Linked DNA regions of Mytilus edulis. The main gene of each other region encodes a partner of the protein of the gene in region 3 in a complex. Links are inferred from orthologs where the notes say so. Each region holds a gene or a part of one and is shown on either strand. Other genes may lie near its edges.

Region 1 (3,761 bases), on a different chromosome or scaffold from region 3:
GATTTCAACAAAAATTGTATATATGGAGTTCTTTTATATATGCTTAATCTAACCATGTATTTAGATTTTTGATGTTTGGGCCCGGTTATCATATTGGTCCACATTGCGGTCTTAAGGGTCCAAAATTGAACTTTATTTGATTTCATCAAAAATTGAATTCTTGGGGTTCTTTGATATGCTGAATCTAACCATGTATTTAGATTTTGGATATTGGACCATAATAGGTAATGTCAATTTAAAATTTAAAGTTTTTAAGTTCAAGTTCTTAGACCACATTCATTATGTGTCAGAAACCTGTGTTGTGTCAACTGTTTTAATCACAATCCAAATTCAGAGCTGTATCAAGCTTGAATGTTGTGTCCATACTTGCCCCAATGTCCAGGGTTCAAACTCTGCGGTCGTATAAAGCTGCGCCCTGTGGAGGATCTGGTTTAAAAGAGTTGTGTCCCTTGGAAACCCTTAAATTATACGGAAAGTTGCATTGTCAATGATTGTTAGTGCTCTCATGTGTACAATTCTTCCCAGAATTTTATAAAACTTAATTCACAATCATAAAGAAATCACATAAAATCTAATTGACCTAAAATTTGTTGATATTGCTTAAATTATATTGAAACTTACCGGTATTGTTACATGGGTATTAGTATTAGATATAATGGCAGTTTTAATGTCGCCATCACTTCGCCATTTGAAAAAGCTAGGAAAGCATATTTTAAAATAAAGAAAACAATAGGATTAGATAACCCTTGTAAACTTCTGGGAAAACTTTTTGATTCCTTAGTAGCCCCTATTCTCCTTTATTGTAGCGAAATCTGGGGGATTATTTCGACATTTAAAGACAGTGATGCCTATGAAAAGTTGTGAATAAATAGGATTTTTGTACTCGAACCTCATGAACTTCAAGTTCAGTATACATTTGTAATTCAGACATGTGAGATATAGGTATCATTGGGATACTTCAGTATTGGACTTTTATTGTAAATCAATAATAATTCCAGTAAGAAAGCATTTCCTCTCTGCAATTAGAGATATACATTGTATAAAGAAGATGTACACCCTGTGTATCAAAAGTCAGATCTGGCAACTTTTATCTTCTTCTTTTTCTGCAATAAACATGATAATAACCCCTCTTTTTTCCTTTAGTGTTAATTTAATCATTGTTAATTAAATAGCTGGTCAGTGTTCATAAAACTTATCATTTGATTCTATTGATTAATAAGCACATGTTCTTATCTTTTATATCCGTGAGACATGTGCATGTGTTTACCATTTACAAAACTAATCATCAAACATCAAACATATAAACAATAAACATGATAAAATGTCAATGCTATTTTTCTGATCACAAATATTATTGATTTAGGTGATTAGATTATCAAGAGAAAACATTAACAGGGGCGGATCCAGGATTTAATGTTAGGGGGGGCGCAAATTTTTTGTTTGCTGAGCGGAACGAGGCGAAAAAAAATTTTGAGGTAAAATTATTGAAATATTCTTCTAAAGGGGGTGCAATGTAGATATCACGAACTATTGTGTGGTAAAATTAGCGAGAAATTTACGTTTCAAGCTGAAACCGACGAAATCCTCCTCTGAAAACAATCTATAATTACCATACTTAACAAGAAATCTTTGAGCTTCTATTCATTGAGACTATCCCCATATATTTCCTCAAAACGGGACAGAAAACAATAAGGATCGATAGAGACATTCCTCAATCCGGAGTACACAAGCTGACCCTCCACATAAAAGTATGTCAATAGTTGCTGGGAAAACTGGTGTTGCATTTAATGAAGTACTAGAAATAGATGTGCATGCGTCCTAGTTAATCCTCTGGACCAAATATATAGTGTCTGACTGACAGATGGACGGACAGAGGTAAAACAATATGTCCCTGTTCCGCGAAGAACCTCCGAGTTATGAGGGCAAGGTGTCTTACAAGTTGGAGAAATCCACAACAATCTCCAAACACCCCTCACTCAGGCATGCACTAAGGAATTCATATTGTATATATGAGTTTATAAAGCTACAGTAATAAAGTTGCAGCCCCAAAAACAGAAGCTGAAGATCATGCAAACCTTTTATTTTGATTCTGTGTTCCAATGCAAACCAATCTACAATCAAGACACCATCACTTGTAAAATTATCTATATAGCAATATCGGGTAATATCTTAACTAAACCCGGCTTAAAAGACGTGCTGCAGGTAGTTGTGATATAAAGAAATACAGGTACACCACAAAAAAGTTAGTTGGAACTTTGATTATCAAAGAAATTGATAATAAAAAGCGCAAATACAATGAAAAAATTAACTGCTAAACATCTATTATGTTTGACACCAAACGCAGCTCCGCGTTTGACACCTTCCTTTGGAGTATACAATATTTTTAGAACTTAAATAAAATGTAGGTCAGTTGATTAGTAATCACATTAATTCTGTTAAACTGACTGTTATATATACAATATAATATAATGAATGTTAAAAAAGATGGAATGGTATCTTCTGATACTTAAATAAGTTGAAGACAACCCATGCTTTGCAAATTTTTTTTGGGAGGGGGGGGGGGGGGGGGGGCGCACGCCCGCCACGCCACCGCCTAAATCCGCCCCTGATTAAGTAATATTTAATTACCTTTTAAGTTCTTTCTGTGAGAGCCCTGACTGTTGTTACAGTATTTTACACATAAATAAATGTATCTGCCCTGCAGATTATTCGCTTATCTTATTCTATAATAATACTTCTTTTTTTTGGAAGATAAGTTTTGTTTTAAAAGAAAATTACATGAATATACATACCAGAACATAACAGACAATAGGTTTACAATCACAAAGGTCATGAAGGTCACCCATTCAGAATCAACTTTGCACTTTTTTCATAAATATGTGGATTTCCTTCCAAAATTTTAAATAAATATTTGAGCCGGCAAAATTAAAACAATGATAGAAAGACGTTGCCTAGATTGGCTAGAAACTGAAAAAGGATTGGATGTTCTAGAATGACTATAATTTAATATCATTCCATACATGGACACTGCATGTTATTTTAGTATTATTTTTATTGACTGGGTAACAGATGGTATACAAACATGTCTAAGTTTTAAAAAATACACCTGAAAAACTGATATTTTGTAATTTGAGATCAGTTGAATATTAAATAGTACATGTATAACCAAAGTTTCATTCATTTAAAATATAATGTTTGTTATCTAATTTATATTTTCAGTTGTGGACATAAAAATTAGATTAGCTGGAATTCCTGGAAGAAATATTGGTTGTATAATTCGGATTATGCCTTAATTTTACAAGAATAAACTTGAGAAAGGCAGAAAATTTGCAGGTTTGTTTTACATTGAAATGTCTTCATACATGTATATTGGTATTCTATTGCAAAATCATAAATGAACATATAATTTCATACAGAACATTACTTGTTATTCGTTTGAAATGATGTATTATATGATCATTTTATTGCACTAATGCAAAAAGCTTCAAATTAGCAATGTGTCATCTTGGACAAAAATATGTTTCAGAAGACAATGAAAGAGTTAATGTTTATCAAGCTTTGGTATATACAATAAAAGGGTTACTGCACAAAAATTGGACAAGTATCCTTTGTAGCATATGATATGAATAGCACACCAAGGTGTTTCAATAAAAATCTATTGATGATAATATTTCCCCTTATGCATGCAATAACCCTTAGTACATTCCTGATATTACTTTGAAATTTACTGATTATTTTCAAGGTTAAGAATAATATATACA
Region 2 (3,761 bases), on a different chromosome or scaffold from region 3:
AAATAGAGCAAAATTTAATCAAAATGATGTATCTGCCGTCTGCAGAGTTTGCGGTAAAGAGGATGAAACCATTTCACATTTTCTGATTTCATGTACACCTTTAGAAACTGAAAGAATGTCTCTTTTGAAATCTCTCCGAGAACAATATATCAAAGTGCTAAAACTACTAAACATTAATATGCATGATATAGATGTAGACTTCATCCATGTTATTATCAATCCATATCATCTAGTAAATTATTGTGGTACCTCTCTAACCAGTGAACTTTGTGCTTTTATTAACATCCATATAGAGCCTGCTTGTAGAACATTAATATATAAGCTTCATTTACACAGATACAAACTTTTAAATTTAGATCAGAAAAGATTTAGAAAAAATAATTTAAGATCATAGCCCTATTTAATGAAAAAAAAAGTTGTGTGTGGACTGCAAATCTCATATTTTCTATTAAGGACTCATTTTTAGATTTTATAGATGAGAACGGGTGTGATTTGTGTGTAAAGATATACCGACATTTGTAAATAGTGTACATCGTTATATATATTCTATTGGTGATTGGATATTGTAATTCACTACTGTATGTCATTATATTGGTGAAGGGATATATTGACTTCATACTGAAGGTGTGCCTATAATATTGGCAGAAAATATACAGATACAGTGAAACTACCGTGTGATAAGGGTGCTCCGTTGTGGAGGAATCTACGAAGAAAAGAAAGAAGGTCCGACATAACAGGCTATGTTTTAGGTATTTCAAAATTAAACTCTAAATTTTAAACTAAATGTTACATGACGATTTAAATGTATAAGTCTTAAATAAAAATAAAAATCATAGAGTTGACACAAAATCATGCAGAGTTTATAATTTTTAACAGAGTTGATCTTTCTCTTAGCTCATTATAGATTCGAAATTATATGTATGGTACCAGTCAATTATTTGGATTTGGCGGGAACCAGGAAGAAAAATAAACAAAACAGACACAAGAAACAAACACTTGCTATTTATTGTAAGTCACTGCTGGGAACAGTATATCTAATCATGGAAGTATTATATTGACATACTTCCATGATCTAATATATATGTTCCTGGTCACTGTTACATTTGATTTAATCAAGGATTTGTATAATAAGACCTTCTTACTATAGAGGGGGGATAGGACCTTTATCGGGACTCCGGGATCGCGTGTTTTTAAGCTCGGGATTTCGGGATTGACCCTTTCGGGATCCGGGAATTCTTTTTTTCGGATTTCGGGACGTCGGGATTTACTTTAAATTTAAATTCGGTAACTCGGGATTTTGTTTTTTTAAGTCCGGGATTTCGGGATCAGGACCCCTCCTATCCCCCCTCACTATACAAATGCTTGATTTAATACTAATAGATTCACTTTTGCAAATAGATTCATTCGTGTTCTGTATGTATCCCCTGAGATTACTGTGTTATAGGAGGGTGGTAAAGGGGGCCCTGAACACTGAAACATGTGAAATAAAAATCGCAAAAACGTTGCACGGAAAATAAAAAACGGAAAAACGAAGCACGAGAAATAAGATCGTAAATATTAAAGTCATAAGAAACGAGTGACTGGTGAAAAATAATGTTTATCCAATTCTTGAACCAGTGCATGTATATATTGTGACAAATCTGGACTGATAATTGTTATTATTTAACCTATTATTTATTGTATATTACATATATCTATTTGAATATTGCCAGGTGGTCAACTTCTCGGGAGTGCACAAATACTGATAAATGCATTGACTTTCATACTCATGATTCACAGGCGCTTGGGTCTATGATACAGATATTATTATTTTTTTTTTTTATTAAAATATTCAATTTTCTATATTTATAATACATATCTATCACTTTTGTGCATGTCTCACCTAGTTTCGAGTGATTTAAACGACCCAGTGAAAAAACCCAATTTTACTATCCATACTAAGAAACAAAAAGGCAACTAACTCGACGCCATTTTTCTGCTATCTATAAATAAATAGATTGACCTACCTGGATTCCCCGACGATTTCTCTAGGAAAGCGTGCCTTCCTTGCCGTCAGATCGCACACATCGTTGATATTTATCAAATTGGTATTGTTCGTATCATTTTTAGTCCATCTCCAGCATATAATAAAAAGATTAACTTTTTTGACTAATTTCAAATTTACGTGCCCGGAAGTTGACTGTTTTTCCCGAACTTTTGTTAAAGGGAAGTAATATTTTCCCGGACTTTTTCGGAACATCTCTCCAAGTACGTATGAAAATAATAAAGTGATACGATGATTTCCGAACTTTTACCAAAAAGGCGCAACTTTCCAATTACCGGAAAAGAATCTGTCATCATATTCAGTCTGAAATGATGACAATTCAACCAAAAGAAGATACTCATAAAAACATTGATTCATGATAATTTATAAATATACAAATACTCACACAAAATTGACTTATGAGTGGAATTAAAAAAAATTAAGCCATTGACCATTTGATCTGATATTTTTATTTATTTGGTGAAAAAGGGGGGGTGGGGGGGGGGCAAGGAAATTTACTAATATTTTCTTTCCACGAAAATGTTATTGACTTTGTTTTAATTATTACAAAACATGGGTCATGTTAACTGAAGTAAAAAAAAAAGGGGGGGAGGGGACAATATTTCCAAATTTTGCAGTTCCCCTTTCTAACATAAAATCAAAACTGTGATTTTTGAAAATTAAAAGATTATGACCACTAACAATCAAATTAGGGGCTTGATCTTGTTCGATATTCATCATATCTGTTTGTTAACATATAGTATTAGTTCGGAAGTCATCGTATCACTTTGTTATTTTCATACGTACTTAGAGAGATATTCCGAAAAAGTCCGGGAAAATATTACTTCCCTTTAACAAAAGTTCGGGAAAAACAGTTAACTTCCCGGCACGTAAATTTGAAATTAGTCAAAAAAGTTAAAATCTTTTTATTATATGCTGGAGATGGACTAAAAATGTTACGAACAATACCAATTTGATAAATTTCAACGATGTGTGCGATCTGACGGCAAGGAAGGCACGCTTTCCTAGAGAAATTGTTGGGGAATCCAGGTAGGTCAATCTATTTATTTATAGATAGCAGAAAAATGGCGTCGAGTTAGTTGCCTTTTTGTTTCTTAGTATGGATAGTAAAATTGGGTATTTTCACTGGGTCGTTTAAATCACTCGAAACTAGGTGAGACATGCACAAAAGTGATAGATATGTGTTATAAATATAGAAAATTGAATATTTTAATAAAAAAAATAAAAAAAAAAATATCTGTATCATAGACCCAAGCGCCTGTGTCATGATTTAAACTATTTGTACTTTGCAATCGATAAGGGTCAGTTTTATATGTATATCTTGGTAATGTATACCTATGAAATACTTTGATTATTCCGTCATATAGCCTCACCGGACACAATTACGAACGATTTTTGAACTTAGATTAATATTTTTTATGTAACGTGACGGTACCCAAATTGCACCTATTTTGACAGTTTTTTCATGTACATGTTTTTTATGATAAAGACAAAAATGTCCATTCTGTGTTCATTTTGTAGCCGTATCCTTCTTTATTATAAAGGTACACCAATTTGATTTTTATTCCATATGGAATCATAGAAAAATTGGTCTAAACTGACCTCCAAACCATCAATGATTCTGAAATGAGGAGTACCCAAATTGCATCCATGCTTAAATTCACTGTCACATCGTCAAAAGTCTAATAACAGAGCTTTTGTTTAATTTCTTCAAATA
Region 3 (3,761 bases):
ACATAAGTTCAACATCCATTAAAGAGCAAGCATATAAGTCCCTAGTAAGACCATCACTAGAGTATGCTTGCTCTGTTTGGGATCCATACTTACAACAAGACATAGATAGCATTGAAAAAGTTCAAAGGAGGGCTGCGCGTTTTGTTACCAACAAATACAGAAACACCTCAAGCGTTGGTAACATGTTACAACATCTTGAATGGCGCAGTCTCTCTGACAGAAGAAAAGACTCCAGATTGGTAATGCTCTACAAAATTGAACACGAAAAGGTTGCAATCCCTAAACAAAATAAATTAATTCCACAAAAAAGACAAACAAGACATACAAATTCGAACAGCTTCCAAATTCCATCCTGCAAAACACAGTACAGAAAAGAGTCATATTTTCCAAGAACTATCACCGACTGGAACAAACTACCGGACAACATTGTAAATTGCACTTCAGTCGACTCTTTCAAATCTTCAATTTCAAAGCATCAATATTAACTCAATTACAACATCTTACTTTATTATACAAAACATTTTAAATTTTTAATTTTTCCTATTTTTTAAAAATTGTACATTTTTCCAATCTATGTCTTGTTGTAAGTTTCCTCCTGTGACATAATCTTCAATTTGTTGAAGGCGGTCACTATATGGTAGAATAGAATAGAATCATCTTCTTCTTCTTCTTCTTCTTCTTCTTCTTTTTTCTTCTTCTTCTTCTTCTTCTTCTTCCAGGTAAGGAACCGGATTCAATACTGAATGTTCATATCTTCTCTGAAACTTCAATCAAATTTTTTATGTCCCTGTAATAAGAATAAGAATGAATAAGAATTTGTGAAGGATAAGAATACACTACGATTTTTTTTTATTTCTTTGAGTCGAGTACGGGACTGAATACTGAATTTAGCTTCTAACACATACAGGAAGTTTAATGGTTGTTTGTAACATTTGCCGCGAAATTTTGTCAAAAATATTGAAAAATGAAAAATTCTGTAAAGCAACGGAGACAGAATAGCTCTCAGCTGGCTTTAACAAACAATAATCACGAAGATGTTACATTTAAGGAAGGTGCAATAGTTAGAATCAAGCTTGAAAATATTTTGTAAGTTCAACAGAACAGTAGCAGGCAACTTTTCACAAGTTTTACATTGCCGGGCATTGGCCACAGGAGACTACAAATCTTATAATATAATGTTAAAAGCTCTCTACCCAATGAAAAACTGTAGTAGGCTATCCGACAAAGTATGCCTTGAACCAGGGACTTCAAATAGTATAGATTGTCCCTGCTTGATTAAGGTTCATGTGGACCCTTTGGTTAAAATGGGCGTGTTTTCACCTTAAAATTTACTCTGCGTGACAAACCTGTGCATCTGGAAAAGTTTTAAGGCAAAGCCTGCCCTAGATAAATACATTTTGAATATTTTTTAGAAAAATAAAAACTTAACAGGATTTTGCAGTGCCCTTTTTACATCACTTGTCGTCCGTCAACTTTTAAAAATATCTTCTCTGAAACTACTGAGCCAAATTTTACCAAACTTGGCCACAATCATAAGTGGGGTATTTAGTTTAAAAAATGTGTGCGGTGCCCCAGGCAACCAACCAAAATGGCCACCATGGTTAAAAATAGAACATAGGGGTAAAATGTAGATTTTGGCTTATAACTCTGAAACCAAAGCATTTAGAGCAAATCTGACAAAAGGTAATATTGTTAATCAAGTGAAGGTCTATCTGCCCTGATATTTTCAATGAATCAGACAACTGGTTGTTGGGTTGCTGCCCCTGAATTGGTAATTTTAAGGAAATTTTGACGTTTTTGGTTATTATCGAAAATACTATTATAGAAAAAGATAAACTGTAAACAGCAAAAACGTTCAGCAAAGTAAGATCTACAAATAAGTTAACATGACCAAATTGGTCAGTTGACCCCTCAAGGAGTTATTGTCCTTTATAGTCATTTTTTACCAATTTTTCGTATATTTTTGTAATCTCTTACTAAAATCTTCTCCTCTGAAACTACTGGGCCAAATTAACCAAACTTAGCCTGGTTAGCCACAATCATTATTAGGGTATCTTGTTTAAAAAATGTGTGGGGTGACCCAGCCAACCAACTAAGATGGCCGCCATGGCTAAAAATAGAACATAGGGGTAAAATGTAGATTTTGGCTTATAACTCTGAAATCAAAGCAATTAGAGCAAAACTGAAAGGGTTAAAATTGTTTATCAAGTCAATATCTATCTGCCCTGAGATTTTCAGGTGAATTTGACAACAAGTTGTTGGGTTGCTGCCCCCCAATTGGTAATTTTTACGGAATTCATGTTATTTTTTTAAAGACATTTTTCCGTTTTTGGTTATTTATCTTGAATACTATTATAGATAGAGATAAACTTTAAACAGCAATAATGTTCAGCAAAGGAAGATTTACAAATAAGTCAACATGACCAAAATGGTCAGTTGACCCCTTAAGGAGTTATTGTCCTTTATAGTCAATTTTTAACAATTTTCATTAATTTGGTAAATTTTTGTAATTTTTTTACAAAATATTTTCTGTTGTAAGTAAAGGGCCAAGTTTATTATAGATAGAGAAAATTGTAAGTAGCAAGAATGTTCAGTAAAGTAAGATCTACAAACACATCATCATCATCGAAACACAATTTTGTCATGAATCCATCTGTGTCCTTTGTTAAATACATGTATGCACCTAGACCAAGGTGAACGACACAGGCTCTTAAGAGCCTTTAGTTTTCATTCCTCCAGAAGGTACCAAAATAAACTAAGTTGGGAAAGAGGTTTGAGATATTCCCCACAGGTATTATTGAAGTGAGCTGTTTTGTTTGACATGGACAATAGATACCTGACAATATTTTTTTATTTAATCAGTGTACCAGAGTGGACCACAAGCAAAACTCATTTGTTTGTTAATTTTATCATTTTCTGATGGGACAAAAAAAAGTGCACTGCAAAATCCGGTTAGTTATGAATTTTTCTGAATCATAACAATGCATTTAAATTATAGTTATCTAGGGCATGCTATGCCTTAAAACTTTTCCAGATGCACAGGTTTGTCTGTACTCAGAGTGAATTTTGATGGTCCACATGAACCTTAAGTTGAACACAAACAAATTATAAAATAGTTTAAAAAAAAAAAGTTAAAAAAAAAAAAAAATTATAAAATATTGTGACAGGATTGCTTCCCTTAGAAAAATGTAGTAGATACTTAGTCAGCCATAAGCGGTTGAGCTACATTTAATTAGGAAGCTTAAGTACTTCTTTAGCTCAGTCAGTTAACTTGCTGTCTTGTTACACAGAGGTCCCTGTGGAGACGAGCAATTTTTGTAATGAAATTCATGCTCTCTGGTTACAATGTTATAACTTTTTTTATGCCCCATTTATGGGCATTATGTATTCTGGTCTGTCTGTCAGTTCAATCGTCCGTCTGTCTGTACCGCTCCAGGTTAAAGTTTTTGGTCGAGGTAGTTTTTGATGGAGTTGAAGTCCAATCAACTTGAAACCTAGTACACATGTTTGCTATGATATGATCTTTCTTATTTTGATGCCAAATTAGAGATTTTACCCCATTTTCATAGTCCACTGGACAGTACATGTATGTCATAGAAAGCGATAGTGCGGATGTGGCATCTGTGTACTAGGGACAAACTCTTGTTTATAATATTTTCCCTTTGGTAATTAACCTGTAGTGCATTGTCACATGTAACAGTATGACAAGATTTTTATACCCCTGCTTTAAAAAAGGGAGGTATACTGTTTTACCTCTGTCT

The links.
Region 1: structural maintenance of chromosomes protein 5-like (region 3) and non-structural maintenance of chromosomes element 3 homolog share a complex: the UniProt entries of both Homo sapiens proteins name them as parts of the SMC5-SMC6 complex. The link is inferred for Mytilus edulis from reciprocal best matches to the Homo sapiens genes SMC5 and NSMCE3.
Region 2: structural maintenance of chromosomes protein 5-like (region 3) and non-structural maintenance of chromosomes element 1 homolog share a complex: the UniProt entries of both Homo sapiens proteins name them as parts of the SMC5-SMC6 complex. The link is inferred for Mytilus edulis from reciprocal best matches to the Homo sapiens genes SMC5 and NSMCE1.

What each region holds. Positions count from the first base shown.
Region 1 is NC_092344.1:12,733,652-12,737,412, forward strand, and holds the start of non-structural maintenance of chromosomes element 3 homolog, read right to left. Parts: upstream 2,862-3,761; 5' UTR 2,847-2,861; coding exon 2,793-2,846; intron 1-2,792. UniProt on the Homo sapiens protein: Component of the SMC5-SMC6 complex, a complex involved in repair of DNA double-strand breaks by homologous recombination. The complex may promote sister chromatid homologous recombination by recruiting the SMC1-SMC3 cohesin complex to double-strand breaks.
Region 2 is NC_092344.1:117,754,441-117,758,201, reverse strand, and holds the start of non-structural maintenance of chromosomes element 1 homolog, read left to right. Parts: upstream 1-866; 5' UTR 867-1,008; intron 1,009-3,761. UniProt on the Homo sapiens protein: RING-type zinc finger-containing E3 ubiquitin ligase that assembles with melanoma antigen protein (MAGE) to catalyze the direct transfer of ubiquitin from E2 ubiquitin-conjugating enzyme to a specific substrate.
Region 3 is NC_092347.1:98,060,671-98,064,431, forward strand, and holds the start of structural maintenance of chromosomes protein 5-like, read left to right. Parts: upstream 1-883; 5' UTR 884-964; coding exon 965-1,086; intron 1,087-3,761. UniProt on the Homo sapiens protein: Core component of the SMC5-SMC6 complex, a complex involved in repair of DNA double-strand breaks by homologous recombination.